Linked DNA regions of Caenorhabditis elegans. The protein of the gene in region 3 interacts with the protein of the main gene of each other region in a pairwise test. Each region holds a gene or a part of one and is shown on either strand. Other genes may lie near its edges. The genes, in order: gipc-2, ZK512.4, Y47G6A.14 and C16C8.4.

Evidence for each region.
Region 1: the proteins of Y47G6A.14 (region 3) and gipc-2 interact in a two-hybrid assay, tested with the Caenorhabditis elegans proteins (one large-scale study listed by BioGRID).
Region 2: the proteins of Y47G6A.14 (region 3) and ZK512.4 interact in a two-hybrid assay, tested with the Caenorhabditis elegans proteins (one large-scale study listed by BioGRID).
Region 4: the proteins of Y47G6A.14 (region 3) and C16C8.4 interact in a two-hybrid assay, tested with the Caenorhabditis elegans proteins (one large-scale study listed by BioGRID).

What each region holds. Positions count from the first base shown.
Region 1 is NC_003282.8:10,024,075-10,030,715, reverse strand, and holds gipc-2 (PDZ domain-containing protein), read left to right. Parts: upstream 1-3,049; 5' UTR 3,050-3,101; coding exon 3,102-3,136; intron 3,137-3,190; coding exon 3,191-3,488; intron 3,489-3,532; coding exon 3,533-4,273; 3' UTR 4,274-4,303; downstream 4,304-6,641. Other genes in the region: msd-2 (MSP domain-containing protein), read right to left, coding at 1,304-1,633; F44D12.8 (PHD-type domain-containing protein), read right to left, coding at 5,490-5,594, 5,665-5,870, 5,915-6,027, 6,074-6,384, 6,428-6,552, 6,595-6,641.
Region 2 is NC_003281.10:9,143,482-9,149,584, forward strand, and holds ZK512.4 (Signal recognition particle 9 kDa protein), read left to right. Parts: upstream 1-1,858; 5' UTR 1,859-1,868; coding exon 1,869-1,945; intron 1,946-2,261; coding exon 2,262-2,415; 3' UTR 2,416-2,478; downstream 2,479-6,103. Other genes in the region: ZK512.2 (putative ATP-dependent RNA helicase DDX55 homolog), read right to left, coding at 235-518, 1,198-1,305; ZK512.11 (uncharacterized protein), read left to right, coding at 738-872, 926-1,123; ZK512.8 (uncharacterized protein), read left to right, coding at 2,602-2,697, 3,073-3,410, 3,783-3,864; RING finger protein nhl-1, read right to left, coding at 4,125-4,316, 4,363-4,497, 4,544-4,669, 4,961-6,103. UniProt on the Caenorhabditis elegans protein: Component of the signal recognition particle (SRP) complex, a ribonucleoprotein complex that mediates the cotranslational targeting of secretory and membrane proteins to the endoplasmic reticulum (ER).
Region 3 is NC_003279.8:3,462,144-3,472,916, forward strand, and holds Y47G6A.14 (RING-type domain-containing protein), read right to left. Parts: upstream 6,045-10,773; 5' UTR 5,979-6,044; intron 5,438-5,978; coding exon of another isoform or gene 5,365-5,437; intron 5,323-5,364; coding exon of another isoform or gene 5,160-5,322; intron 5,111-5,159; coding exon of another isoform or gene 4,991-5,110; exon of another isoform or gene 4,989-4,990; intron 4,160-4,988; 5' UTR 4,146-4,159; coding exon 4,094-4,145; intron 4,043-4,093; coding exon 3,915-4,042; intron 3,867-3,914; coding exon 3,821-3,866; intron 3,778-3,820; coding exon 3,681-3,777; intron 3,636-3,680; coding exon 3,566-3,635; intron 3,509-3,565; coding exon 3,410-3,508; intron 3,356-3,409; coding exon 3,230-3,355; intron 2,716-3,229; coding exon 2,563-2,715; intron 2,161-2,562; coding exon 2,039-2,160; intron 1,698-2,038; coding exon 1,523-1,697; intron 893-1,522; coding exon 767-892; intron 721-766; coding exon 628-720; intron 352-627; coding exon 232-351; 3' UTR 127-231; downstream 1-126. Other genes in the region: AFG3-like protein spg-7, read left to right, coding at 4,991-5,110, 5,160-5,322, 5,365-5,437, 7,143-7,341, 7,399-7,523, 8,439-9,584, 10,301-10,409.
Region 4 is NC_003280.10:3,441,551-3,447,846, reverse strand, and holds C16C8.4 (Ubiquitin-like domain-containing protein), read left to right. Parts: upstream 1-3,466; 5' UTR 3,467-3,481; coding exon 3,482-3,562; intron 3,563-3,610; coding exon 3,611-4,124; intron 4,125-4,178; coding exon 4,179-4,264; 3' UTR 4,265-4,359; downstream 4,360-6,296. Other genes in the region: C16C8.20 (Ubiquitin-like domain-containing protein), read right to left, coding at 1-230, 810-890; C16C8.16 (Ubiquitin-like domain-containing protein), read right to left, coding at 1,180-1,259, 1,306-1,948, 1,997-2,077; C16C8.5 (Ubiquitin-like domain-containing protein), read left to right, coding at 2,483-2,536, 2,587-2,926, 2,971-3,119; C16C8.22 (PLAT domain-containing protein), read left to right, coding at 4,609-4,792, 5,028-5,179, 5,229-5,357; C16C8.27 (DUF281 domain-containing protein), read right to left, coding at 5,402-5,444, 5,492-5,619, 5,663-5,750, 5,795-6,135.

The DNA.
Region 1 (6,641 bases), on a different chromosome or scaffold from region 3:
GTGCCAATTGGAGCGAGACGTGTTCGCCCCAATTAGCAATGTTAATCCGTGATATTGGCCTACGTGAACTTTCTCCACGAATAGAACTTATTGATTTTCTATTCATTAATTGCTTTGCTCTATTATACTTCTAGTCTCAATCAACTGTCTTCTCTTGACTATTCACTATACACCATCTCATTTCCACGTTACTTTGCTCATTCTTTTGCTCATTTTTGGGCAATACCACCAACTACCAACAGCCAACGACAAATTTCTCTTCAATTTTTGAGTTAATTTCATTCCGTTCACTGTGAGTTTCAAACCACTAAAAATTTCTGAAACTTTTTTGAAAGTTGAAGTAGAGTTTGTAGTTTTTCCGCTTAAATGTACTGTATATTAGGGCTACGCAAATCTCAGCTTGTGTGACCACCAAAAATGTGACACCCACCACATTGAGTTAAAAAATGCCCTCGGTGGCAGAGTTGGGACACAGGTAAACCGCGTCATGAATTTTCGTCGAGTGACGGGCCGCTATCTCGCAAAAACGGTACATGGCTTTTGTGAAGACCCGGACCGCTATTCGATGAAAAACTGACGAAAAACGGACCGGTAAGTGATGAGGACGCACGAATGCCCAGCTAGTTGTTCACCCGTTATTCGCCATTGGTTTGAAATTAGTGGTTCTTTAATAACAGTTGATAGTTCATATAAATTTATTTGTATAAAAATATAATGGATTAAAAAAACAGCAAATTATTCCGATGGTGACGGGCTGGTCGATGTATGTTCGCGTCTTCGCTGCTTATCTCGAAACTTCTGACCCGATTGAACTTTTTATCAGGTGTTTTAGACGAGAGAAGATTTTGGATAAGGCTAAGGATCACAGCTTGTATCACACAGCATAGCGTAGACCGAATAAGGAGGCAGACGAGAATGATGACATCTGGAAGACTCGAGGTCGTCACACATGAGCTGGGGTGAGAATCCTGAAATTAATTGGATTAATTACTTCCATCATTTTATCTGGTATTATACCTTGTGATTGGCTGATCGGCAGTGATTGGCATCAACCGCTTTGAAACCTAGAAAGTGATATGATCCCGGGTTTCCAATTCCTGGTTAAAATATTTAGTGGGCACTTTCTTAGCCACAATTATGATAAATTCTTTGGTTTCTTATTGAAACTAAGCAGTTCTAGTAAGAAACCAATGTGAAATAATAAAAACCAAAAACTTCAATTCAAATATTTCATTCAAAACATTCAAATCTCTTTTTTCCAAAATGCTCATCTTTGTCTCATCATACTCGTCGATTTAAACGTCTAAGCCGTTGCCGACATTGGAATTGTAATGGTTCCAGCTGGAGTGATGGCAGCAAACGCAGCTTGGGCATCAGTTGCATCAGCCGGAGCAGCGGCAAAGTGAACAACAAGCTTGTCTTCTTTTGGTGCTCCAGCAGTACGAGTGATTGTGATGTCCTTTGAACCAGATGGATCAACGAATCCGAATACCGGAGTGATGCGGTATTCGTTGTTGTTTGAAGACTTGATCTTGAAGATCATCTTCTCAGCTCCAGCATTAACAAGTTTGTGGGTGGAAGCACCTCCAGCAGCTGGAACAGTGCACGCTGGTGGATCGGCCGTCAGAGACATCTTTTTGAAACTTTATGTTAAAGTTGTATAAACTGAACATATTACCCTTATTTATAGCAGTCGTTATCAAGATGAACCAGTGACCTTTCGTGAACTTTTGATTTTAAATATTTTTGTAAATTTAAAAAGGTTTGTTAATATCAACTGTCTGCTCCCTTTTGAAAATATAGTTTTTTAAAAGTTATTTACGCTCTCGAGAAGACGTGGAAGAGGTTAAGGAAAAAATAAAAATATAGAAAAAAAAATATTTTTGTAAATTTAAAAAAGTTTTTTTTTCCGATGTATGTAAGGATAAAAATAAATAAGTCATTAAATATATTTTTCTATAACATGAAAAATTCACCGCTAACTGGCGTCAACTAACAATGACGTGTTTAGTTGGAATGTCAATTTCAAAGGTTCGGAATTACTTGAGTTGTGGACTAATAGACACTAAAGAATAACTTTGAGATACGCGATTTTTGCCAAAAACAGAATGTCCACCTTCGGCACGACTAATTTTGAATTTTCGAATAACTTATTTTCATATATTTCGCCTAACAAAACATTTTTGTATGTAACAGAAATGTGTCGTGTGGAGACCAGATGTATTTATGGAGCAAAACTTTGCACATGATTGTAAATAATAAATCAGTGATTTAAAAAATCAATTTTAAATCAAAATGCGGAGAAATGGGCGGTAGGCAGCCAGGTAGGCACGTGGGCCTCAAGAACATTTTGTTTTTTCTTCTCAACATATTTTTTTGTCAGATAATTTAAAATTTATTTATTACAGTTACGATTGTTTATTGTACATGCATGAAACTCCTAACAATGCTTCTAATGTTTTGCGAGTTTTGAACGATGGCTTCTCACTTATTGGAACGTATGTTTTCAGTTCATTACTCAAATGAAGTAAAGGATCATATAGCTAACTAGAAGTTCTAAATTTTACATCCTTCACTTTGTTCGGCTCCTCCGATGAGTACATCACCCTCTTTGAGCTTATGAACAGCAGGAGTCTAATATTTTCGCCACAGACTTCTGAGATTTACGATTATACACGTCCCCGGGTCCCGACACGAGTGAAACGTTTCATCAAGCCTATACTTTGCCAAAAAAAAAATTTTTTTTAATAAGAAGTATCAAAATCACGGTAAGTATCAAGAAAATCATGCAAAGTCAAAGATCAAAGAACCCTGGATTTTGAGGCAAAAATCTATACATTTTTTCCGAATTACAATTTTACTTGTTACACGTGTTTGAGTTTAAAAACAGGTAAAAAAAGAAAGCATATACATGAATAAATAGAAACGAAAAAATATTCTAAAGTTATATTTTTTAATGAACTTGCTCAGCGTGGAACCCCACTTTGGTTGGCATCCAAGCTCCGCCCACATCAATGTCTATAAATAATCAATTTTCTGGTAAATCCTTCATTCATCGATTTACTCGACTTACAACAACTAATTACAACTAACTCTTCGCAATGCAAGGACAAGGAGCCCCATGCCGCCGTTCTAGGTATGCATTTCATGAGCCCGAGTCTCAGATCTCAGGTTACCATGAATATTTCAGAAGCCGATCAAGATCTCGTGGAGCCTTCAATCGTCGCTCCAACTATGGAGAAGCTCATCCAATTCAGCCTGCCGTTTTAGCTTCAATTGTCGAAGAACCATCATCTTCAATCATGCCAGTGGTGAACCCATTGATGGTTGCAGCAAAAGAGCTCAAATTTCCCTGCCAGTTGGCTCATGGATCTCCAGTTGCAATCATTGACAAATGGAACGATATGGAGGAATTGTACCAATCAATTGCTGATTTCTTTGCAATCTCAAAAGACGATATCATTTTCCTGACGGTTAATGATTTCAAGGCAAGCTTTGATACTTTAATTCCTCTAATTCGAAATATTTTCAGCCAGACATGAAGAACATGTTCAGTGGAACACTCAACTTCAAGGATATGCTCTTTGCACACGTTCGCGGACAAGCAACTGAGCTCCGAATGGTCAAAGACGCCAACGTCTTTGGAGTGACAGTCACTGACAACGGACTCGGAAATGCATTTATCAAGGTCATAAGCCCAGGTTCGGTGTTCGATCGTATGCGTCCAGCAACACAAGTTGGTCAACTCATTGAGGCGATTAATGGAGAGTCTGTGCTCGGTAAAAGACATTACCAAGTTGCTCGTATGTTGAAAAGTATTCGTCGCGGCGAGGAATGTATCATTCGATTGATTGCTCCAAAGAGTGCGGATCCAGGAACTATGAAGATGACTAGGAAAACTGGCGGAGATTTAGCAAAAGGAACCATTCGTTTCAAATCGGAAGGTGGATTTGCTGTTGAAGATATTCAAGATCAGATGATCCAGGCTGAGATGTGCGGGAAACTCAACGAACTGTTCGACCAATATTTGGGAGTTCAAGATGATCAATTGGCCATGAGAATATGGGAAACTGCCTCAAACTGCGAGACACTTTGGCAACTCAGTGAAGCCATCAAACAGTCGGAGCTCTCAATGTTCGAGTTCCCGGATGGATTGGTATTCGACATGTGGGGAATTATTGGTGATTTGAAACGCGAACAACGTGAGAAAAAGCCAATGCCAGTCATGAAGAATGCTATTTCAAGACCATCGGCTATGAAACTCTTTGACTAACTTGTATTGTCAAATAAATTATTTTTCTTGTCCTAGCTGAATTTAATTGTTTCTAAATCAATTTACTATATATAAAGCGCGTGTCGTTCCGTCACTATGTAGTTTGATCTCTGATCATTTTGGGAAACCTTATGCTAAATACGCAGCAGACATCGATCGAGGTCCGCGATAGACACCGTACATCTAATGTGCTTTCTCAAAAAAGTCGAGGGCCGCGCCGTAGGTGCTAGATTTCAACTTGCAATTGTATTCTCTCCAACAAGAATCGGCATTCTAGAGGTTTCCAATGATTTTATTTTGATGAAACGCTACAGTACTCCTTTTATACAATTGACCAGCCGCTGACCGCGCCTCCGGCGCGGCCAACGACTGGCGAAATTTGAAATGTTTGACACATCCCTGAATTCATTAGGTTTTTCTATAAAAAAAAGTAAGCAGAATTTGTTTCCCTGCTGCATGTGTTTAAGTTTTTTCGAATATGCTGAAAGATTAAATTTTGAAAACCATCACACCACAACCTTAAACAAAGTACAGTAACCCTACAGTACTACTACAGTACTACTACAGTACCTTGACATTATCCATCACCAACTCCCAACGCAATATCCCTTCAAAAGCTGAAAAATCAAAATTCCCTAAACTACAGTAACCCTATAGTAACCCTACAGTAACCCTACAGTACCCCTACAGTACTACTACAGTACCTTGACATTATTCATCACCAACTCCCAACCCAATATCCCTTCAAAAGCTGAAAAATCAAAATTTGCCAAACTACAGTAACCCTACAGTAACCCTACAGTACCCCTACAGTACTACTACAGTACCTTGACATTATCCATCACCAACTCCCAACGCAATATCCATTCATAAGCTGAAAAATCAAAATTTCCTAAACTACAGTAACCCTACAGTACACCGACAGTACTACTACAGTACCTTGACATTATCCATCACCAACTCCCAACGCAATATCCCTTCAAAAGCTGAAAAATCAAAATTTCCTAAACTACAGTAACCCTACAGTAACCCTACAGTAACCCTTCAGTACACCTACAGTACTACTACAGTCCCTTGACATTATCCATCACCAACTCCCAACCCAATATCCCTTCAACTACAGAAAAGAGAGTTCAAAGATCAGAGATCAAAGTTCAAACTACATAGGGACAGAACGACACTGCGCTTTATATATAGTGAATGAAAATGATTAAAGCTAAAGTTCCTTTGTGCTGTCCTTCGGCTGAGTTGATTGCTCCATTACTCCCTTGCTGCTCATTTTCTTCCGGAACTTTCGAATTGATTGAATAGGATGATTACGCTGTAAAGACAAAGTATAAACACTTTGTGATTGAAGCTTTTAGATAAAGTTATTTAGAAAATGAACTCACGTCATAACTCAAGCAGACAACGTTCTTCATATGGAAGGAAATCGCTTTTCCAGGTGTTGTTGAAATCGTATCAGTTGACAGTGCTTTAACAGGAGGGAGTGGCATTGTTGTCTCAATCGTAGTCTCAACTGTTGTATCCTGGGTTACTGTAGGCCGTGCTCTGTCATCAATCCCATCACGTTTCATTGAAAAACGTTTGATTGCGTCTGAAAACACATGATAAGAAATCGCATTCTAAAAAGTTTCAAACCTTCACTCAATTCCACCAAATTCTTAACAGTGTTGTACGCAACAGTCTCCTGACTCACGAAATCACTATTTGCCTCCAACTTATCACGTGGAGCAAGAGAGTCAAACGTATGGCTGAAGTATTGAAAAATTAAACGCCTAACATTAAAACTAGACTAACTTTTCTGGCAGTGTAACACCTCGTGGCATTGCACACGACATGTAGTCTCCGATATGATCGAACCAGCTCTTCTCATCGATTTCAATGTTATCTTCTGCAAGAGCAGCAACCAATTCTGGATTAGTGATTGGAACTCCTTCATCATTCTTTTCACAATCGCCAGGGGCTCGTTCTGGAACAACCCAAACTGGTTCCCCATTCGGCTTGAAGAGATCCGAGTCCAAGGATGTTTTCGGCGCATTTGTTTTCTTCTTCCTCATTGCTCTTGCCGATGCATTGAGTTGGCTCGACTCCGGCATTCTTTCAAGCCGCTAAATAATCATAACATTTATTTTTCTGAAAAGTACCATAAACCGCATCGTCGGATCGTTTCTGAGCTCTCTGCGACTGCACATGTTTGAAGAAGTTTTTGGCCAAATCCTTATTGAACTTTTGCCCACTCTTTTCATCTTCTTTTGATCCAGATGATGGAATCTCTGCTGAAATCATAAACTTGTTTTTTTAGACAATTGTCGTCAAACCTGAAGATCTTCTTCGTCTAGAATCTGAAGATGTATGTGAATTCTTT
Region 2 (6,103 bases), on a different chromosome or scaffold from region 3:
AAATGTGCAAAAATAAATGAATTTCATGATGAGATTTGCCAAAAAATGTCATATTTTTGCAGCTCAAAAACTAAAAAAAAAAACTAATTTTTGCTATAACTTTCGATTTTTTCTTCGATTTTTCAAACCGTCATAAAAATGATGGAAATTTTTTGAGGTCTCATTAAGAAATTCGCTTTTTTTGGCGAACTTTTTGTAATTCATCTTTTACTCCGCATAAAAATACGAACATACTTTTTATTCTTGAACATCTTGATATTTTTGTCCACTTTCTGTCCTCCAGTAACTGTTTCCACAGTTAAATTGAGTTTCTCTGCGAATGGTTGAATTACGCTAACGATTTGACTGCAGAGCTCTCTTGAAGGCGATAGAATAAGTGCTCCAATGTCAGCAGGCTGAAGTTTTGCATTTTGAATCATTCTCATCATTGGTAAAACGAAAGCAAGAGTCTTTCCAGATCCAGTTGGAGATTCAACGACAACATCAGACAGGTTAAGGAGATGTGTTCCAGAGAGAACCTGAAATTGGATAATTAAATAAAGATGCATTCCTACTACTTTCTACATCAAATGGCTTTTTCCTCAGCTTTGAGGAGAGCACACTCCTCCTTTGCTCTCATGTCTGCGTCTCTCTAACTCCCGATCAATATCCTTTCTCCCACCCTTCTGACCCATTTTATGCTATGCTTTTTCTTGTATATTTCAAACATTTTTATTTTATATTCTTGATTTTAGAGAATGAACAAACCGAAACAGGACTGGGGAGCGTATTATTATCAAGGGAAGCGAAAAAATGGGAAAACTCGATTAATGTTGGACGTTGTTCATCAGATGAATCAAGCAGTTCCAACATTCAACGAGTTGTTTGATGAGGTATTGGATTTTAAGTGGAAAATGTTTAATTAAAAACATTATTTTAATTTCAGGAAACTTTCTACGTGTTTGCTTTTCTCGTGGTTCTTGTGGCAGTTATATTTGTGATAGTGATGGCAAAATGCTTTAACGTTAAAATTAAAGAATACGATATCGATATAGATAGAGAATGGAGAGATATGACACCTGCTCATCCGTTCAGATTTCCTTGGGACGATGCAAAAAAGGATGCGAAATTGAAGAAGGATTGATTACTTTGGAAATTTTGGACATTTCCTCACTTGATATAATTTCACTTCGATCAAATAAACTATTATAAACTTACTTGTACATCTGTGAACGATTTGTAACTTTTATCGAATACTTCGAGCAGTTCCGGGCCGAGCTTCTCGCGGAACGTTTTCAAGGCTACTGGACCCACTTTTGATGTCATTTTGACGGCTGAAAAAAGATAAAGGTTGGGAAAGATATTTTAAACGGAGAAAACGTTTAATAAGAAGATAAATTCATTAGAAGTAATTAATTAAAGCAAACAAGGAAAATATTTAGTATTCCGTCAATTCCTATGAAAATTAGTTAATTTTCAAATACGAAAGCTGTTGAAAAAATTAGATTGAAATCTCACTTAATTATAAGACTAAAACCCATTCAAAACTATTAAGGAATAAGAAAGATTATCTAAAAATTCTTAAAATTCAGCAAAAAAAATTAATTCGAAAAGTACGCAAACACCGGCATTGCATCTCTGCGTCCAGTGCAGTGAATCTTACGACACTTGAAATGTGGCCGGCAACAAATTATGTTTTAAGCATTTTATTTAATATTAAAATTTAATAATACTATTTTACTAGTGAATTTATGAATTAATTGACTTGAATATTTTAATAATATTATTTGTTAGTAATCTCCAAAATCGTCTTTCCTTCTTTTCTGCGCTCATTACTTATTCAAATACTTCCATACTTATAAATCAAGTTTTTTTTCAGATTCGAAACAATGACATACTTCACAAGCTGGGACGAATTTGCAAAAGCTGCTGAAAGGCTTCATAGTGCCAATCCGGAGAAATGCAGGTTAGTTCGTAATATTTTAAAAAAACCGTCACTTTCGGGATTGAAAAATGTTATAGATTACTTAAATGTGCGATATTTACATAAAATAGAAAAGCGAAAGAAAATCAATTTTATCAATAATTTTTATTCGTGAGAAACATAAATTACTAAAGGATTATTTCCTGGAAAATCTTTTTGTCGATATTTCTGCAACCAACTTTTTTGTAGTTTCTTTGTTATTTATGGCATATTCAGCTGAATTTAAATAAAAATCCCCTAAAACATTCCTCATGGAGATTTCCAAAAGTTTTAGTGACAACTAAACTTTGATTTTCAGATTCGTCACCAAGTACAACCACACAAAGGGACAGCTCGTGCTGAAGCTCACCGATGACGTGGTCTGCCTTCAATACAGTACGAATCAATTGCAGGATGTAAAAAAGTTGGAGAAGTTGTCATCGACCCTGCTTCGCGGTATTGTCACTCAATAAACACGCTTTGTTTTATGTTTATGGTTTAATTAAGTATTTAAATAAAAAAAGTTTATATTTATTGAATGAAATTGTTTTTCAAATACGTGAACTTGAACTTCAACACTACAGATAGAAAAATAAACCAAAGCTTTAAAAATCAATAAATTCAGTTTGAATTTATTCCTCTAGCTTGACAAAGAAATAATGTCTCACCGGAACGATAGCTCTCGTAAGCATCGTAAATCGCGTTCAATCAAGAATGATCAACACTATCCGACAGTGTCTTTTGATGGAGCAGAGGTAATTTTATTTATTTTATTGGTGTGCGCTGTAATCCGATTTTTGGAATACGGTGCCCGGTCTCGACGCGGCAAATTGTTGTTAAATGCAAAGTGTTGTGCGCCTTTAACGAGTACTGTAATTTTGTCTAGTTGCTGCAGAATGTTTAGTGATTTTCCAACACACTATTAATTTGTTGAAAAACTAAAAATATAAGTGGTAACAATAATCGATGAAGTTTGGAGTTACAGTACTCTTTAAAGGCGCACACCCTCCCGCATCTGACAACAATTTGTCGCTCCGAGACCAGGAGCTGTAGGCAAAAAATTGCCAAGTTTCGCACCTGTATCATACAATACGTGGTTGAAAAACTTAATGAAGAAGAAAATATTTCAGTCTGTCGATATTCCTGCGGACGAAGGAAAAAGTCCAGTGAGCACGCACTTGTCGTTGGCATCAAATCCAACTGAATTCAAGTTCATGGATGAAATTGCACTTTTGAAGCGTGGCCGCATCGACAAAGACGCTCCAAAGCATCCGTACAATCGTCGTGGCCAGCAACCAATGATGAAGAAGGAGATTTCGGTGACTTCGGCTCATTCCAACAGCTCCTTGCCTGTCAGAAGTCCAGCTATCATGACGTTGATGGGCGGAGTTCCAGAGGCAGAAAAAGAGTACAATGTTGGAAAGGGTGGACTTCTCAAAATTTCTAAGATGAAGGAAGGTGGAAAGAGGTGATTAATGTAGCTCATGGATTATCGTAAATTTGTGAAAACTGGAATCATCACTTTAAAGGCAAATGCTATTTTTTGGATGGGTCTCACTGTGAACTCAATGTCATGGCCGTTATAAGAGCTAAAATTTACAAATTTGTTCGTCAATTCTGCACGGTATCATTAACCTTCTCATAGGATCCAAGCGCGTTTTCACTGATACGTGCCTACCACCTGCCGGCCTAGCAGGCATGCGTGTAGGCCTACTACATGTATTTAGGTGTATAGTAATTTTAGGCAGCACAGTAGGTACGTAGAAAGCTAAGTAGAAACCAATATAAGAAAATTAGATTAATACAAACATTCATTTAATAAATGCTATTGTAATTTCAGATACGAAGTTTCCGCCAACGAGCGCTTCACCGTCTTCCAACAAACAGCTGGCCAAACTTGCCTCTTCACTTTCAAAGCTTAGAATCCACAATCGAATGCAATCGGAAATCCAATGAATGTTTCCTTTTTCTCAATAAATATTTTATTGAAACTCGAAAACAGAAGTGTTTTAAAACCGAAAGTCGTAATGGGTAATAATAATTAATAATACTTGTAAAAGTGCTTTGTACCTAAAGATGAAAACACTAAAAAGTTGGGTGGCATCGGTATCGATAACAGAAAATTACAAAGGAGACATTTTAATTGAAAATGAAACAAGAATAAGGCCCGAAAAAACATAATTTAGAAGATCTGAATGCGATGATTCTCGCGATCGGTGACAACAATTGAACCGTCAGCAGTGACACAAACATCTTCGACACCTTTCAGTTGTCCAGCTCCTCCACCCCAAGTTCCGAAAGAGGAGACAAATTGACCTTGGGCGTCGAAAACTTGGATCCTGTTGTTACCGGAGTCGGCGATTATTAGGTTTTCCTGAAAATGAATGGTTTAGAATTTTTCTTTAGCATTCCAGCCTTACCTGTGAATCAATAGCAATTCCACGTGGGAATTTGAATTGTCCACCATGAAAACCTTCCTCGCCGAATGAAAACAAATGAACACCGTGGGGATCGAATACGCTGATTCGATGATTCGAAGAATCTGATACATACACCTGAAACGATTCAGAATGATTCATGAATCTATCTGGAATCACTCACGTGATGAGTAACTCTGCTAACTGCTATGAACAATGGACTGTTTAGTTGACCAGGTAGATGTCCGAAAGATCCGAATTTTGCAATGAATTGACCATTTTTGTCGAAGACTTGGACGCGGTGATTATCCTATAATTTAAGCTTCACTTGTATTTTAGCATGTGGGGCAATGTTTTTTAAAATTTAATCTAGATCTGCAAAGCGGACCACAATAATGTCCGGCGTCCGAATTTCCAAAAAAAAAAAAATTAAAAAATGATACTCAAAATACCGGACGTCCGGTTTGCCTGCAATATATGAATCTACAAAAACAAAGTTCTTCTCTTGATGATAATTAATAAACAAAGTTAATTTTTATCAAAATGTATACAATTATGAACTTTCGCATTACTGAGAAACGTCTCATGATAGTTGACCTACCTTATCAGCCACATAGATACTTCCCAAATCATCGACAGCAACTCCCCATGGATTATTGAACTTAGCATTTCCCTGTCCATGTCCACCGAATGAGAACAAATGATCTCCTTCCAATCCAAAAACGGAAATTCGATGATTGTACCTGTCGGATACAATAACTCGGAGCTTTGAGCTTGCTAGCCCGGCAGCTGAATCAAGTTGTCCGGCACCGGCACCGTAGCCTCCGAACTGACGAACAAATTTTCCATCTTTATCGAAAACACAGACACGATGATTAGACGAATCACAAGTTGCGACAAGACCTCCGGACAATGCACAAATTCCACGTGGCCAGTTTAACTCGCCATCCTTCGCACCTTTTCGTCCGAATACTGCACGTGGTCTACCACGAGCCCTCCATTCACCAGCTTCACGAGAAGCGCTGCGGCCACGCTGTCGCAAAACGGCAAGCTTCTCTTTCTCTTCGTCGGTTGTCGTAGAAGAGTCTAAACGAGATTGACGTTCGGCGAGAAGCTGCTGCACTCGAGCACTTGTGAACTGTGCCTGTATGTCGGGATTTGTGCGCGAGCGTTGGAAGCGTTGCCTCCGACGCTGTAACCACGCTGGCACGACGATGTCACTTTCGTCTTCCTCACCTGTGAAATGTGTGACTGGAATCGCGACTTGTTCAGATGTCCCATTGGTGATCGGAGCGGATGCCGGAAGTTGATGTTGAGGTGGCGGAACATTTATGATCGTACCAGTTCCTGGGATCATACTCATCAGTCCATCATCACGGTTTACAGATGCCGCGCGACAAACTATTCGTATTCTACCGCGGTTGGTGGATACGGGAAAATCCTCTCCCTCTGATTCTTCACTTGAAACTGCTCTTGATGCAGCTCTAGATGCATCTTGACGTTGTTGATGAGCTCTACGGATGGTTTCCACTTTCTCATTCAAAGAATCATCGTTACTGGACTGTTGACGTGGCAGAGGTGGCTTTCGGATCGGAAGTTGTGGAAGTGGAGCAGGTGATGCATCTTCAGTCCTCTCAACCCGTTCAACAGATTGTGGTGGAAGAGGAGGTTTACTAGCTGGAGATACAGTTCTTGGTGTTTCAGTATTCGGAACAATCAGACTTGTTGGCCGTGACTTGGTTGG
Region 3 (10,773 bases):
TTATCAAGATCCGGTCATAAAAGTCTGTAAAATATTTTGTTTCCGATCAAGGGTGCTGGCGAATATCCCGCTATCGCTCGTCTCTGCAGTTGCCATTGCCAGGAAAATCCATGATTGAAATGTTCTCAACTTTTTAATTTATTCAAGTTGTTATACAGACCGAAAAATTCGAAAACTCATTTAAATATAAAATTCATAGCTTTAAAACTTGAGCATTTCTCAGTCGGATAATTATGCGTCGCTAGTAGTTCCAAACTCATTCTCCACTGCGTCGAGGCGTTTCTGCTGCATTCTGACGACAGTCTGGCTCATATCAGCATTCGATTGGAGAGAAGAAATTGCGTGGTCCGCCTGAAAATGGTAAATTTTCTTATAATCTTTCTTTACTTTTCCGAACAAATTTTCGATTTTTCGGTTTTTTTTTTTTGTTGAGCAAAACCGAAAAAAAATCTGAAAAAACTTCAAAATCGGAATTTCTCATCAAGAATGCAATATTTTTTATTACGGTTTACGCGTATTTCATACAAAAAAACAGAAATTGCACTTTTTTGAGCAAATTTGACCGCAAAATTTTTCACTTTTCGGTTTTTCAAAAAATCGAAAACCCCGGCAGGCTTGTTTCCGAACCTTCTCCAACTCGTTCTGAAATCCCTTGACAACCTCCGCTTGTTCCGGATGTCCACGACTTTCCATTGCGATTTTCGACATCTTGGTGATTTTCTGAACATTTTTAAATATTTCAGATAATTATTTAATTGAAACCCACGTCATCATATCCTTCCAACTGTGTGATATAATGTTTGAAGGTGTCAAGAAGAGCCGAAAATTTGATATTAATCTCATCTTTATGCTTTTCAACTTTCGAGAAAACCTTGAGCGAGGTGTAGGCTTCCTGAAAAAAAAGATTAATTATTTCTCTTATTATGGGAACATTTAATTCTGAGAATGCGTATTGTACAACATATTTGACGCGCAAAATATCTCGAAGCAAAAACTACAGTAATTCTTTAAAAGACTACTGTAGTGTTGATTTACGGGCTCGATTTTCGAATCAATTTTCTGTTCGAAGTGTGCTTTAATAAATGATTTCCGTAAATCGATACAAACGCTACAGTAGTAATTTAAAGAATTACTGTAGTTTTCGCTTCGAGATATTTTGCGCGTCAAATATGCTGTATTATCAGAATTTTGTGTTCTCGTAATAAAGGCTGGTTCACAAAATTACCCAAAATTACCGAATTTTTCTTTTTCTTTATAAATTATGTCGGTTTTAAAAATTGGGAAAATACATTTTTTCTTGCTAAAACCTCAAATTTTGAAAGCTTTACAAAGTCAGAACTTGCAGAAGTCAGTTTTCATTTATTTATCACATTTTACTACACATTTTGGTCGATTTTTGTGCATTGCGACCGAAAATGTAAGAAATTGTGATAATTAAATAAAAATTTACTTCTGCAAGTTCTGAAAATACGCGTTTTTTGAGAAATTTTTGGTCTTTTTAGGTGTAAAATTAAGTTTTTACCTGAACTTGAGAATATCTGACAGTCTTGTGCTCGCCGTCAGAATGATGATGATCGACGATACAATTCGTGCAAATCGGCAGAGTTTCAAGGTCAACTGCGTCGATTTCAGTTGTTTCGAGAAGATTGTCAACGAGTTTTCCGACGACTTCAATGCATGTTTTGCAGCAGCGGAATCTGTATGGAAAAAATATTGATTTTTTTTTTGATTTTGCAGAAAAGTTAATTATTTTTGAACTCCCGCGCAAATTTTCTCGGAAATTGGCCAAAAACTCGATTTTTTGCGGAAAAAATGTCTGAAAAAATAGAAAATCTTTTTTTGCTGCAAATAAAAAATATACATACAATTTCAGGCTGAAAATTTCAGTTTTTTGAGTTTTATTGTGAATATTTTTTAGAAATTAAAAAAAAACAGTCAATTAAATTGAAAATAACGAAAAATGCTCAGCAGACGCTCCAAATATTTCAATTTTCTGTGAAAATCGGCTCCAAAATATCCAAAAAATGAGTTAAAGAACCTTTCGACGGTCTGCTTGGTCATACACTCGCTGCACGTGAGCTCAAAAATTTTCTCGACGGGCTCTTGGCATTTCGTCTCCTCGTCCTTTTTGTTGATGGCCACGAGAGCAGTGAATGATTTCTGAAATTTAATTTATTACTCAGTCGCGAAATTTTGCGCGAAACTACGGTATCAGGTCTCAACACGAAAGATTTTTGTTGAAGGCGAGAAGGTGTGCGCCTTTAAAGAGTACTGTAATTTTTGTAAATTTTGAATAAATTGACAAAAAAAGTATGGGAAAAACATCGATTTTTCATCGTTTTTCTGTCGAAAAAAAATTCCAAAAAGTGAAATTACAGGAATTTTTTTCGACAGAAAAACGAAGAAAAATCGATGTTTTTCCCATACTTTTTCTGTCAATTTGTTCAAAATTCACAAAAATTACAGTACTATTTAAAGGCGCACACCATTTCGAATCCAGCAAAAATCTTTCGTTTCGAGACCCAAAACCGTATTTTTGACGCAAAAATGACGATTTTTTACTTGATATTCCTTGTCCTTATTGGCAATTTCCAAGCACACAGACTGTACATAATCTGACATTCTTTTGATTTCCTGATCAATTCTCTTGGAAAACTCCTCTTGGACATCACTAGACTTGCTTTTTCTCATCATATCCGTCATCTTGTCGAGCTCCTGGAATTATTTGATTATTGATTGAAAAAATAATATGGAGACGCAGAAAAATGCGCCTTAAAATTTAAAAATCAACGTGGAAATGTGCTCCGCCTCCAAATTATCGGTCTCGTTAGGTATACATGGCGGCAAAACTGGAAAATTCAAAAAATTCGAATTTCAATTGTTTTATGTCGAAATTGATGAAAAAATTGTTTTTAAATGCATTTTTAACGTCATTTTTCCGTAAAAATCACGAAAAGCAACAGAAAACTTCTTCAAAGATTTTGTCACCAAATATTTTCAAAAATCAAAATTTTTCGATTTTTTTAAACGATTTTTCGTGTTCCGAGGAAAAAAAATTGAATTTTCACTAATTTCCGAAGAAAAATTAGTTTTTTAAATCGAAATCCACTTTTTTTTTTGATAAATTCATAGTATTCTTCCATTTTTTCTCCTAGATTATCTCTGAAAATATCCGAAAAATCGAAATTTTGACCGCGCACATCGATTTCAAATATCAAATCAAAATCACCGTGTGGAATGTCTTATATGTCGATGCAAACCGAGCATACCACGCATTGGTGAGCCCAAACGACGATTCGAGCTCAATTCTCAGAAGAGAAATACTTGTAAGCTGGCTTGCGAAGTTCATTCCGGACTGAAAATTTACAATTTTAAGTCTTTTCTTTACAAATAAATTTTTTAAATATACCGCAACCGGGAAATAAGCCACAGTCTCGTGGCCCTGTGTGACATGAGATCGCAGTGCACAACTTCCACAAAGCGCCAACGATTTGATATCCAAATCCACCTTAAAAAATCATTTTTCAATTTTTTTTTTTTTTTTGAAATTGGATATTTTCCGGACCTCGGCACCCAAATTCTCCACGACGTCGTATTTGAAGGCATCAGTGACGCAATTGCGGCAGACGAACATGCTGGAAATTGAATTTTTTTGTTATTTCTAATTAAAAGAGGCCTACTCCGATTCGTTGTCGTATTTGGTGCATTGAGTGCAGTCCACTGCATTTGCAGGCTTCTTTGGCTTCTCACGAAGCTTTTGGATCATGGTCACAGCATCTGAAAAATAGTTTTTTTCGGGAAATATGAATATTTTTAAAACTTGTCAATGCAAAGTTTTTTGTTCGCTTCTCCTTGCTAACCACGGCCTGAAATTATTTTATTTTTAAACAGATATCAATATATTTAAGCCATACGCGGCATGTCGGGCATTGTGTCTGGCCACCAGATCCATATGCGTCAGAATAATCGCTTTTCAAGTGCACAATGCAAGTTTCGCATAGAGAATGGCCACAAGATATGATGAATGGAGCCTTTTGATCATCTGAAAATAAAAATGTGCTTGTTTTACAATAAAAATTGGGATATTTTTCACCAAATTCTTCCTGGCACACAGGGCAAGTCGGGAGTTCTTCATTAACATCCATTTTTCTCGAAAATTCTGAAAAATAAAGTTTTTTAAATTAGAAAAATCAATATTTTTAAATTTTCGTTATTTTTAATCGTCGAATAATTGAAATTTTCGTTTAAAATTAAGGAAAAACAATTTATACAATTTATATCCGGAAAAATTAATGTTTTTGCAAATATTTGAGTTTCAAGCGTTTTCGCTTCAAGTCTCAAGGAGGATAATGTGCTTGCGCCTTTAAAAACTACAGTAAGACCTTTGTTTATTTCGTCATCGAATTTCAATGTTTTGAATCAAATTTCCCGTGATTCCGGTTTGATTTTCACAATTTTATTATGTTTTTACACTATTTAATGAATTTTAATTCAGTATATAATAAAATCCATAGATTATCCACACTGAAAATCTACCAATACCGTCAGTTTCTCAAAAAAAAAACATTTGCCCAAAAAATGCCTGTTTTCCATGGAAATTCACATTGATTTTTAATTTCACAACGTTTTTTTTGCCAATTTCTTTCCAAAATTTCTCAAAGTACTTTCGCAAACTAATCGTTCACTTTTGCGTCATGGCTCTGTGCACTGGAAACTAATTTCAAACGACGCGCGCATTGTCTTGTGCGATGGAGCGCGCTTGCTATTTTCTAAAAAGTGCTCAGTATTTTTGAAGCTTTATGGTTTTTCCTTGTATTTTGCATAATTTTAAACATTTTTCTCGAGAAAAAATATTCGAAAAAGTAGAAAACGGCTGAAATTTGGTTGTTTTTAATTTTTTCCCTCGTTCCTCAATCTTAAAATCGAAGATTTCGTCATCTCTCACTGTTTGCGCAGTGCATGATTATGATAATTAAATTCTATTGCAGAAATGTGGCGATTATACCGAAAAACGCCGAAGCAGCTGAGAAATTCGGTCGAATCATGCTTCAAATCTGTCAATTCCCGCCAATTTTCAGTCAGCTCATTTTCAGCAGTAGCCAAAGATGATGTAATATTACCGCCTGCCAGTATACTGAAAATTCTGAATTTTTTTGCAGAAATCCGTGCTAAAACAACAAGAAGTTCTGCATCTTCTCGCAAAAGATCAGCGATTTGAAGAGCGATTCTTCAATCAAGTACAGCAGACAATTCGATATTTCGCCTCGAAACCAAATGATTTGAAAAAGTTCTTCAGGAAGGAAGCATCGACGGATAATAAAGGTTTTCAGAGGGAAATTATCATTAATTCGAAGTTTTTTCCAGAATCTTCATCATCTTCTGACAAAAAGGACAGCAAAGGAAATAAGGGAGAGGATAATAATCCGTTTAATCAATTGTGAGGAGGAATAGACACAAAAATCGGCTAATTTTGGCTAAAATCTGAAATTTCGCCCAAATTATCATCATTTAGATGCTTTTCACCACGTTATTTTGTTTATTGAAGTCTCGGAGAAGCCCCGGAAATCATTTCTAGTCGAATTTCTTTGGAGTATTTCAAAAAATTGACTTTTACAGGTTTCCCGGGCCGTATTTTGAACTTTTTGGCAAAAATTGTCCCAAAGATCCGGAAAAAACTTGTAAAATCCAATATTTTTAAAATAAATTGGTGATTTTAGCTAAAATTAGCAGTTTTTTTAAAAAGTTTTATTGGCAGAGCAAAAACCGTGCCAGAGTTGCAAAAATTGGCGTTTTTAGCATTTTCTCCATTTTTCCAGATTTTCAAAAATCGAAAATTCGGGATTTCGGAATCATTTCAATAAAATTCAAAATTTAATGAAATCACGAATTTTCCAAATCGTTGAAAAAAAATTCCGAGAAAAAAAAAACAAAAAAACGCCCATTTTTGCAATTCTGGCACGGTTTTTTGCTCCGCCCACGATGTTTTTGAGCGGGGCACCACGTTTTCAAGATCTACGAGAAGAAGATCTACGTTTTCAGGATCTGGCACCGTGCCAAGTGCAGTTTTCGCAGTTTTCTCGAAGAAAATCGAAATAACGATGCTCCGATATTACGCATCGCGAGTTGTTTAGCGTTTTTCAGAAGTTTTTATTCAAAAAAGGTTTTTCTGACTAAACAACGTGCGATGCGTAATATCGGAGCATCGTTGCTTTTTCTTCGAGTAGACTGCGAAAACCGCAGTTGGCATGGTGCCAGATCCTGAAAATGTAGACCTCCTTTTCGTAGATCTCGTTTCCGGCTAGATCTTGAAAACGTGGTGCCTCTTTTGAGCACATTTACCTTTTCTAAGATTTAAAAGTGGGGTACCGAAATCTGGAAAATATTTTCAAATGTCTCCAAATTTTCTTCTCATTCCAAATATCGATGTGAAAAAAATCAAAACAATTTTCTAGATTTTATATGATTTTTTGAAAATAGGAAAAATCACAGTTTTCACCTAATTATTTTTGAATTTCCGCCAATTGGATTTGTTCGGTGGAGCGTGCTTGCAGTATTTTTATCAATTAATTTTTTTAAATTCTTGTTCTTTGACTGATTTTCTTCATTTTCTATGTTTTCTCCTCGGAAAATGGAAGAAATAAACAAGACAAATGCAAAATTCTTGTTAAAAAGTAATTGAAAATGAGTAAAACTGTGAAATATACTAATTTCAGGCTTGTTGCCGTCGGAACTCAGAATATCACAGTTTTACTCATTTTCAATTACTTTTTAACAAAAATGTTGCATTTGTCTTTTTTATTTCTTCCATTTTCCGAGGAAAAAACATAGAAAATGAAGAAAATCAGTCAAATAACGAGAATAAATAAAATTAATAAATAAAAATAATGCAAGTGCGCTCCACCGAACAAATTCAATTGGCGGAAATTCAAAAATAATTAGGTGAAAACTGTGATTTTTCCAATTTTCAAAAAATCATATAAAATCTGGAAAATTTTTTTGAATTTTAATATCATGATATTCGGTCAATGTGACCCCATAGGCGCGTTTTAAAGCAATTTACCCACTGAGCGTAGTCCACCTTTAAAAAAACGGAGAAAACCTCTAAAACCCCTTAAAATCAATCTAATTCCTCCAATTTTCAGCCCAGGAGGATGGCAACAAATTGCCGTTTCAGTTGGAATTCTGCTCGCTCTCTACGCCTTTATGGATTATCAGTCGTATCGTGAAATTTCCTGGAAGGAGTTTTACAGTGATTTCCTGGAAGCTGGACTTGTCGAGAGACTTGAAGTAGTTGATAAGCGATGGGTTCGAATTGTTAGCTCGTCTGGAAAGTATGCAGGAGTTAGTTTTTTAGTTTTTGCACTGAAATTCGTGAAAAAATGAATTTTTTTCTTTCAGCAAACGTGCTATTTCAACATCGGAAGTGTGGATAGCTTCGAACGGAGCCTCGGAGCTGCTCAGCATCATCTCCAGTATGATGCTGATCGACAAATTCCGGTTTTATATAAATCTGAATTCAATTTGTAAGGATTTCTGCAAAAATCACTCCATTTCAAGAAAAATTAGAGAAAAAAAGAAAAAACCCCCGATTTTCTTAAAGAAAAAGCTCTGGGAAATGGGAAAAGTTATAATTTTTGCATGAAAATTCAGAAAAACTTTTAATTTTTCACATTTTTTGTAGTTAAAATTTTGTTTTTAAAGTGAAAACCTTCAGAAAGTCACTGAAAATGAAAATTTTGCACAAAAATTATGGAAAAAGTTGCTTTTTGCTCGTTTTTTGCACTAAAATTTCAAAAAAAAAATCCGATTTTTCTGATTTTTTGCCTGAAAATTTCAAAAACAAAAATTAATTTTGCTGGTTTTTTGCAGAAAAATTTTTAAAAAAACGCAGTTAGGCTGTTTTTTGCCTAAAAATTCGAGAAAATCTCAATTTTGCTGAATTTTTGCACTAAAAGTCTTTTAAAAAATCCGATGTTTCTGATTTTTTGCCAAAAAATTCAAAAAAAAAAATTTTGCTGATTTGTTGCACTAAAATTCCAAAAAAAACTCAATTTAGCCAATTTTTTGCACTAAAATTCCAAAAAAATCCGATTTTTCTGATTTTTTTGCACTAAAATTTCAACAAATATCAATTTTGCTGAATTTTTGCAGAAAAAATTTAAAAAATCGCAGTTAGGCTGTGTTTTGCCTAAAAATTCCAAAAAAAAATCCGATTTTTCTGATTTTTTTGCACTAAAATTCCAACAAATATCAATTTTGTTGAATTTTTGCACAAAAATTCAAAAAAAAACGCAATTTAGCTGATTTCTCGCACTAAAATTCTTTTAAAATTCTGATTTTTCTGATTTTCTGCACTAAAAATTTGAAAAAATCCAATTTTTCAGGCATTTTTACATTAAAACTCCCCCAAACTTCAATTAAAAACCTTTTTTTTTCAGCAAACGCGAAATCCCAAACCTCATCAGCGTCGCATTCCCTCTTCTCTTCGGCTATTACATCTATCGAATGCTGAAAGGCGGTGGAGCAGCTGGCGGAGCCGGAAGAGCTGGTGGAGGTGGACTCGGTGGAATGTTTGGTGGATTCGGACAAAGCACGGCTAGAGTCATTAATCGAGAAGATATCAAGGTGAAGTTCGCCGATGTTGCCGGTTGTGAAGAGGCAAAAATCGAAATTATGGAGTTTGTGAATTTCCTGAAGAACCCCCAGCAGTACAAGGATCTTGGCGCGAAAATTCCGAAAGGAGCCATTCTAACAGGACCTCCTGGAACCGGAAAGACACTTCTCGCGAAGGCAACCGCCGGCGAGGCAAATGTTCCATTCATCACTGTATCGGGATCCGAATTCCTGGAAATGTTCGTCGGAGTAGGACCTGCAAGAGTCCGTGACATGTTCTCAATGGCTAGAAAGAACTCTCCGTGCATTCTATTTATTGATGAAATTGACGCAGTTGGAAGAAAACGTGGTGGAAAAGGTGGAATGGGTGGACACTCTGAACAAGAGAATACTCTGAATCAGCTTCTCGTTGAGATGGATGGATTCACAACTGATGAATCGTCGGTCATTGTGATTGCCGCCACGAATCGTGTGGATATTCTCGATTCGGCACTCCTCCGACCTGGTCGCTTTGATAGACAGATCTATGTTCCAGTTCCAGATATCAAAGGTCGTGCTTCAATCTTTAGAGTTCATCTTGGACCACTTCGGACTTCCCTCGACAAGACTGTGCTTTCACGAAAACTCGCCGCCCATACACCAGGATTCTCTGGAGCCGACATTTCGAATGTGTGCAATGAGGCTGCGCTGATTGCGGCGAGAGATGCGAATCACGAGATTTCAAATAAACATTTCGAACAAGCCATCGAACGAGTCGTCGCTGGAATGGAGAAGAAGACGCAGGTTTTGCAGAAAGAGGAGAAGAAGACTGTAGCCTATCATGAAGCTGGGCATGCTATTGCTGGATGGTTCCTACAGCATGCGGATCCTCTGTTGAAGGTTTCTATTATTCCACGAGGAAAGGGTCTCGGATATGCACAGTATTTGCCGAAGGAGCAATACTTGTATTCAAAGGATCAGTTGCTTGATCGGTAATGATGATGCAGTTTTTAAGTTTTTATTTTTCAAAAAAATTTCCAAGAAAAAACTGTTAAAAACTGTCAAAATCGCGATTGGAAACACTTTAAAATCGTGATTTCTGGATATTTATAGTATCAAAAAGTGCTTTTATGAGATTTTCCCGACAATATTACACTTATTGCTTGATCGTAGTTACAAATTGTGCAAAATCGTGATTTCTGGAATTTTTTGAATCACGAAAACGTGATTTTTAAGCAAAAAGGTCCCCAAAATTTCACTTTTATGAAGCTTTGGCGGCGGATATGCACTCTAAAATTTTTTAATTTAATTTTTTTTAATCATAATTTTGAACCAGGAATAAGTCGACATTAGTTCGAAATTTAAAAAAAAAGCTCAAACAAATAGGAAAAAAGCTAATTTAACTTTTTCTCCCCAAATAATAAAAATCTTAATATTTTATTCAGAGAATTGAATTTTTTCGAAAATTTTTAATCTTTCCCTTCATTTAGGATGTTTTCCCAAAAGATTTCACTGTACTGATAAATTTTTAGCTGAAATTTTTCAATTCAAAATCAATATTTCTGATTTTTTTCAATTATGCATATTTCAAAAAATATTGTTTTTTTTTCGATTTTGCGATTTTTTACCAAAAAAAGAGCCAAATTTTGTTGGCAAAAGAAAACCTTTAATTTTTCGATATTTTTCAAAATTTTTAAAAATTTTTCAGAATGTGCATGACACTCGGAGGTCGCGTCGCCGAGGAGATCTTCTTCGGACGAATCACAACTGGAGCACAAGATGATCTACAGAAAGTTACACAAATGGCATATTCACAGGTTTGGTTTATTTTATTTTACAGCTTTATTGAGACGGAGCAAAAGTTGCAAAAAGTATTCGAATTTAATCTAAAACCGGCGATTTCTTGTCGAGAGCCTCTGTCAATCCTTCACAAATCGTCGACGCAATGCCAGTGTCCGGATCCACGTTGCATGTGCATTTGACTGGAGCCGAGCCGCTGAGAGCCGTGAAAATAATCAGAATTTGGAGAAGAAGAAGAAGAAGAATCAGTTGAAATTTCATGATTGAATGGATGGGGGAATGTTTGACTGAAGAGCTCTGAGAGAGCAGCTTTATCTGACATATGAAGTCGATTATGTTTTTGTTTCGGCGGGAGGAGAGCCAAGGAGAAATAGTGTGTGA
Region 4 (6,296 bases), on a different chromosome or scaffold from region 3:
ATGTCTATTCCTACAAGTGAATTGATGCGCAGTTTGATTTGTCGAATTGTGTTCGATTCGTACACTGGTAGTTTCCTGCGGTTTTCAGACACGAATATGCCACCCGGAATGGACCAGGAAACAAAAATCTTAAACATTGAGTCATTCTTTGCCAATTCTCCAGATTCAATTGGGACGTCTTTCACAGCAGCTCCTTCTTGAATCTTCATCATAATCCGATCTTGACCTTCCTGAATTTTCAGCATCATTTTCAGATTATTATTCGAATTCTTGGTTAGAAGATCATTCATCGATTGTGCCTGAGACTCCTGTTGCTTTGTTGCATTATGCAGGTCACTTATTTGATTTTTAGTCTCATTCAGCTCTGTTTTGAGAGTTTTCAATTCCGACATCAACTTTTCGATCAATTTGTTTTCATTTTCCTGGATTTTCAGAAATTCTTGCCTAATCTCATCTTGAAATTCGTCTTGTTCCTTCAAAATCTGAGTCTCTTGTTGCTTTTTCATATCACTAGTCTCATTTTTGACCATCTCCAAATCCAATATCAAATTTTCGATCACCCTGTTTTGATTTTTCTGGGTTTTTTGACAATCGTGTTTTTTCAAAATCTTTTTTTTCACTCGGGAATCGTTCGCCCACTATGGGGGAGTCTGCGCAAGGACAAGCAAGGACAAGGACAACATTCTAATGGAATGGAAACAACTGCCCGACTGCACCAATTCTAGTTCAAGCGAACAATGATAACTTTTGTATTCTGTATTCCTTCACGTCTCCCAGCGAGCGTAATAAATTATTATTATTATTCTCACCTCTGTGAATTCATTGTATATCTTGGAAGTTTCAACGCGAAGTTTTTGGAATTGAGACATCAAACTGCTTGTCTCCGACATTTTTAAATCTGAAAAAAAAAAGCTTTTTGATAATTTTTGAAATGCAAAGAAGTTCCTAGTTAACTTTTCTAATTTCCCAGGTAAATTCGAGAAAAAACTCTCTAAAAACTGAACAAGAACCGAAAACCAAGAAAGTTGCTTTTATTTTTGAGTAAATCAAATATCCAAATGATTGCAGAATCATTTTTAAAAAAAATCTGTGAAAAGCGAACAATTTTAGTTAACAATTATTTATTCGCAAAATAACAATATCTTGAAAAAAGTGAATGAAAATTAGAATAATTATGATTCAACGAGAGTATAGCCAAATTAATGCGCCTTCTTGAATGTTGTAGTAGGCGAGAGAGTGGTGGTCTTCGAGAAGTTTTCCTGAAATTCGAATTTTATTTTTAAATCTACTTTGAAACCAACCAACCACGAAGCACCATTCTGAACGAGCTGATGTCTACTTTTGCAAGTGAATTGATGCGAAGTTTGATGTGTCGAATTGTATCCGATCCGCACACGCGAAGTTTCCAGTGGTTTTCAGACGCGAATATGCCACACGATTCGGTCCAGATAACCAAAATCTCAAAAAATGGGTCAATTTTTGTCAATTCTACAGTTCCAAGTGGGACGTCTTGCACAGCTGATCCTTCCATAATCTTCATCATAATCTGATCTTGACTTTTCTGAAATTTCAATATCGATTCTAAAATCAGTTTCAAGTTTTTATCCGAATTGTCGATCAATTTTTCCTGAGACTCTTGTTGCTTTTTCGTCTCATTCAGCTCTGCTTTGACAGTCTTCAATTCCGAATTCAAATTTTCGATCGATTTGTTTTGATTTTCCTGGACTTGCTGAAATTCGTCTTGTTTTTTAAAAATCTTCTGGATTATTTCGAGAATCTCAAGAAGATCCTTAATTGATGTCGCCTGTTTCAGTTCTTTTTTCACAGATTTCAACTCCGACATCACGTTCTGCTGAATTTGCTTCATCTCATCGTTGAATTCGAATTGTTTTTCCAAAAGCTTCTCGCTTATGTCCAGAGTCTCTTTGAACAGCGTATAGCTGGGTTTCTGGAAGAAAATTGATGTTCTTATAATGTGTAAGCTCGAAAACTAAACCTCTTTAAACTCATTCTGTATCTTGGAAGCTTCAACGCGAAGTTTTTGAAATTTAGACACCAAATTGCTCGGCTCCGACATTTTGGAATCTGAAAAAAAACATTTTTTGAGATATTGGTGTTTTAGCGGTTACAACAGCATGCTTGCGAATAAAACCACATTTTCTGGCGTAATTAGATATTTTCTAGAACAATTCGGAAAATAAACTCCAAAAATCTCAAGAAAACTGAACAAAATTGAAAAACTGAAAGGAAAAATGTTCACGAACGAAATTTTCGAAGAAACTACGGTAGACGAGGAAGTACGCAGAGTGTTTACGGACTTTGCATTGCAAATGACGCGCATTGCTCATATTAAAAATTTTTTTTTTTTTTTTTTAATTTCAAATCTCTTCTCATTACAGTCTAATGCTTACAAACTGATTTTCAATGCCAGAAAAACGCGAAATGCTTTGAAATATAATATTTTCAGAATTGTTCGCGAAAAATGGACAACTCGAATAATGTGATGTCGAAATTGCAGAAACTTCGACTTGAATCGGTTGGGAAAAAAAGTATATTAAAACATTAAATAAAAATATTTTTTTCCAGAAATTTCCGAACGGCTCCACACTCGTCGAAAATCAATTGCTCTTGGATGTCAAATCGCTTTGCGCAGAACTACTCGAAGAACAGAAGTCGCTAAAGAAGAGACTTCAAAAAGTTGAAGAAAATCAAAAAATTGAGAACGCAAAGATCAAGGAGGAGCTGGAAAATCTGAAGAATGGCGGAAACCGAGTTGCGGACAATTCACTTTTTGAAATTTTCGTGTTCGATGATTACAAGTACCACGCTGTCGAAGTACGAAATTCTTATTTGATTCGTTATGTAAGAGTGAAGGTGGCGAATCTGCTCAACAACGATTTGGTTGAAAGTTTTAATCTGTATTATGGTTTGTTAAAACCAATTTTCATCACAATTTTTAAAACTTTTCAGGTGGTCAGAAGCTTCAGGACAATCGCTCGATTGGATCTTACAATATTGATCAGTCTCGAGAAATTTATCTAAAAAAAAAAAAAAAATTATCTACCCTGCTCTTGAACGTTACTATGATTATTAATTTGTTACCTGCCAATTTGATATAATTTGTTAATCTTATTTTTGTAATAAATTTTTTTTTTGAATATAAACTGGATATGGATTTTTCTATTTTGAATATGAGCATCGTATGGAGAATCAGTTATAAGACAGTTCGAATATTTTTCAGAAAACTTTGAAAACATTTTTCGGGTGATTTTTACAGTTAACTACTGTAGATGATGAAGTACGCAAGGTGTTTGCGGACTTTGCATTACTAATAACGAGCATTGTTTTTCATGATAATTCGTTGAAAAAGAAAAACAACGCGTTGTTTTCTTTCCATTTCTCTGGGTTTTTCAGTATTTAAATTTTAATTTTCAAGTTTTAAAAACTAAATGAATCTTATTTTTAGACTTGCCCACGAAAAATGAGTAACTCGAAGGATTTGATGTCGGAATTCGAGAAACTTCGACAGGAAACTTCCAAAATTCAATATTCCCTCATCCAGGTTAGTTATTATTGATTATTACTTTTAAAATTAATTTATATTTTCCAGAAACTTCCATCCGAGCCGTCCAGCTTCGTGGAAAATCAGCTGCTCCTGGAAACTCAAACACTTTGTGGACAACTTCTGAAAAATCAAGAAGAACAAAATATTCTCAATGAGAAGCTGAGAAATGAGCAGAAAATTATCAAATTGAAGCATAACACAGAGATGAAATCGATGCGAGACAAATTGGAGACACTTACAACTGCCCAGGCGGCGCAAAAATTGGATTTTGAGCGACATTTCGAAATGATGAGACAATCCCATTCGGCGAAAATTGTGAAAATGGAAAGAGATTTGAGAAATATGAAATACGATTTGCATTCGTTGAGAAGTGATATGGATAGTCGGAAAAACTGCGAAAATCGTGCTGCTCCGAAACCAGAATTTCAAATTTTTGTGAAGGTTCTGGGAGTGAGCTACGCTTTCAAAATTCACCGAGAAGATACAGTTTTCGATATAAAAAATGATATTGAACATCGTCATGACATTCCCCAACATTCATATTGGCTTAGTTTCAGTGGTTGGTTAAAATAGATTTTTAGTTAAAAATTGATTTTAAAAAAAAAATTTTCAGGAAAAAGATTGGAGGATCATTGTTCAATCGGCGACTACAATATTCAAAAATCTTCTACAATTACAATGTACTTCCGTTCTGGATGATCATCTCATCGATTTATTTTTTAATTGTGATTTTTACCCGAAAAATGCCCCAATAACATGTTGTTTAATAGTGTGAAATAAAGTTTTACTGTTTCCGTCGAATATTTTTTCTCCGATTTCAATTGAAAATGTGTTTAGGAATTCCAAAAATCCGGAAAAATACAAAAAAACATAAAAATTACAAAAAAAACTTTTACTGGATTACGGTACTTGCGTGCTTAATAATACGTTATCTCTGGCGTTCTTTTTTATTTTTAAATCAAGCTTTTCTTATTATTCTCTGGTAAAATAAAAAATTTTTTTCAACTCAAAAACGTGAATAAATTCATTTCCTAAAAATCACAATGCTTTGTTTCATCGTACTTCTCGTTCTCGGAATCAGATGCTCCGCCAATTTTCATGTTCCGAGCTTCATTATTCCGCACCCAAGTCCCGTTTTGATCGTAGAGAAGCAGATCACCTCTCTTGAAACAGCAGTGAGCTCCGGTGATAAGAAAACCCTTCTCAAAATATTTGATGTCACAAAAGGTTCGTTAGAAGTAGAAAAGTCTCACTAGAATTGGTAAAGAAGGTGAAGAAATGCTTTATTGTGAATCTTTCGGGCAATTTTTCATGGTTTTTCTGCCGGTTTGATGAATAAATTGATGAAAACAAGCCTTAGCATAAGAATAAGCCTAAGCCTAATCCTATGCATAATCTTAAGCCTAAACTTAAGCCTGAGTCTAATCCTAAGCCTAAGCTGAAGCTTAAGATAAAATTCCAGGTGATGATCCGTACGCTGACAAACTTATCGAATCTAGCAAGACAATCAAAATTACGGTAACAAGTGCTCGATACGTGTCCTACAACCGAATTGAGGCGGAATTGCAAATCTCTGGATCGAAATCTAGAAATGGAAAGTGGTATTTGAATAAGGTGAGTTGGTAATCTGCAATATCTAGCCCTAAAATGTTCATGATTCCAGAGTTTTCTCAGTCCGACTAGCTGGAAAATCGACGGGATTCAACGGAAAAAGTCTCAAAATTCTACGTGGCAATGGTGTTATATTGGCCTGTTCAAATGTTTTATAGATGTCGTTTCTGAAATAAACTGACTCTCGGTTTATTAAATTTCAAAATGCAAAGTGTATTTTAGTCCTCATTCGCAATCGTACGAGCAGACCAGCTTGACCACGTTCACACTGAAAATTGAAGTTAATTGGGCTCCAGGCTCACAAGCCTAACTTACACTGTGTCCGCTAGAGCTGGATTTTCTTGATCTAGCCATGTACCATCATCTTGGCACGACAAAGAACTTTCAGCTCCGTTAGCATTCCAGCTTCCCACTGGGACTGTTGCTCCAGCTGAGGTTTCTGCCTGAAAGTACAGGCTTCAGAACTCTTACAGTTGGTTAACTCACGTGAATTTGAAAATTTGAGCACATGGTTCCGGGGTTGGCCTCGCAAGTGGCTTGTCGCTTAGAACAACCATCATTCAGATCACTTTCACTGAAAAAATAAGCACGACTTGAGGTTCATAATTAGGAACTTACATGTAAAAGCTGATCCTTGGATCTTCTGGATCCTCCAAGCTAATCATAGGACAGGATTGACAGGGATCTTCTGGTTGATCAGTTTCTTCTAGCTCCTGGGAAACTTCATGCTCTTCTAGGGCTTCAGGAACATCTGGAACTTCTGGTTCTTCTAGAACTCGAACCTCTTCTAGCTCTCTTGAAACTCCTGCGCGGTCAGATTCTTCAGACTCTTCTGGATTCTCCCCAGGATCCCCAGGGAGTATTTCAGCAATATCGGAATTTTCCAGAGGGTTTTTATTTATGAAGGCCTCGATTTTGGAAATGGCACCAAATAGTATGAAAAGTGTCAACCAATTCATTTTTTTTGAACAAAAATACAAGAAGAAAATGGTATAAATTCCTACTTGTTGGCTTTTCCGGAAAGATTTTTCTATTGTAGCTACAAAAATTTACATAACAATAGCGAAAAAAAACTTTGTCTACTCCTTTGTGTCACAATCTTTTATTCATTTTAACTGCT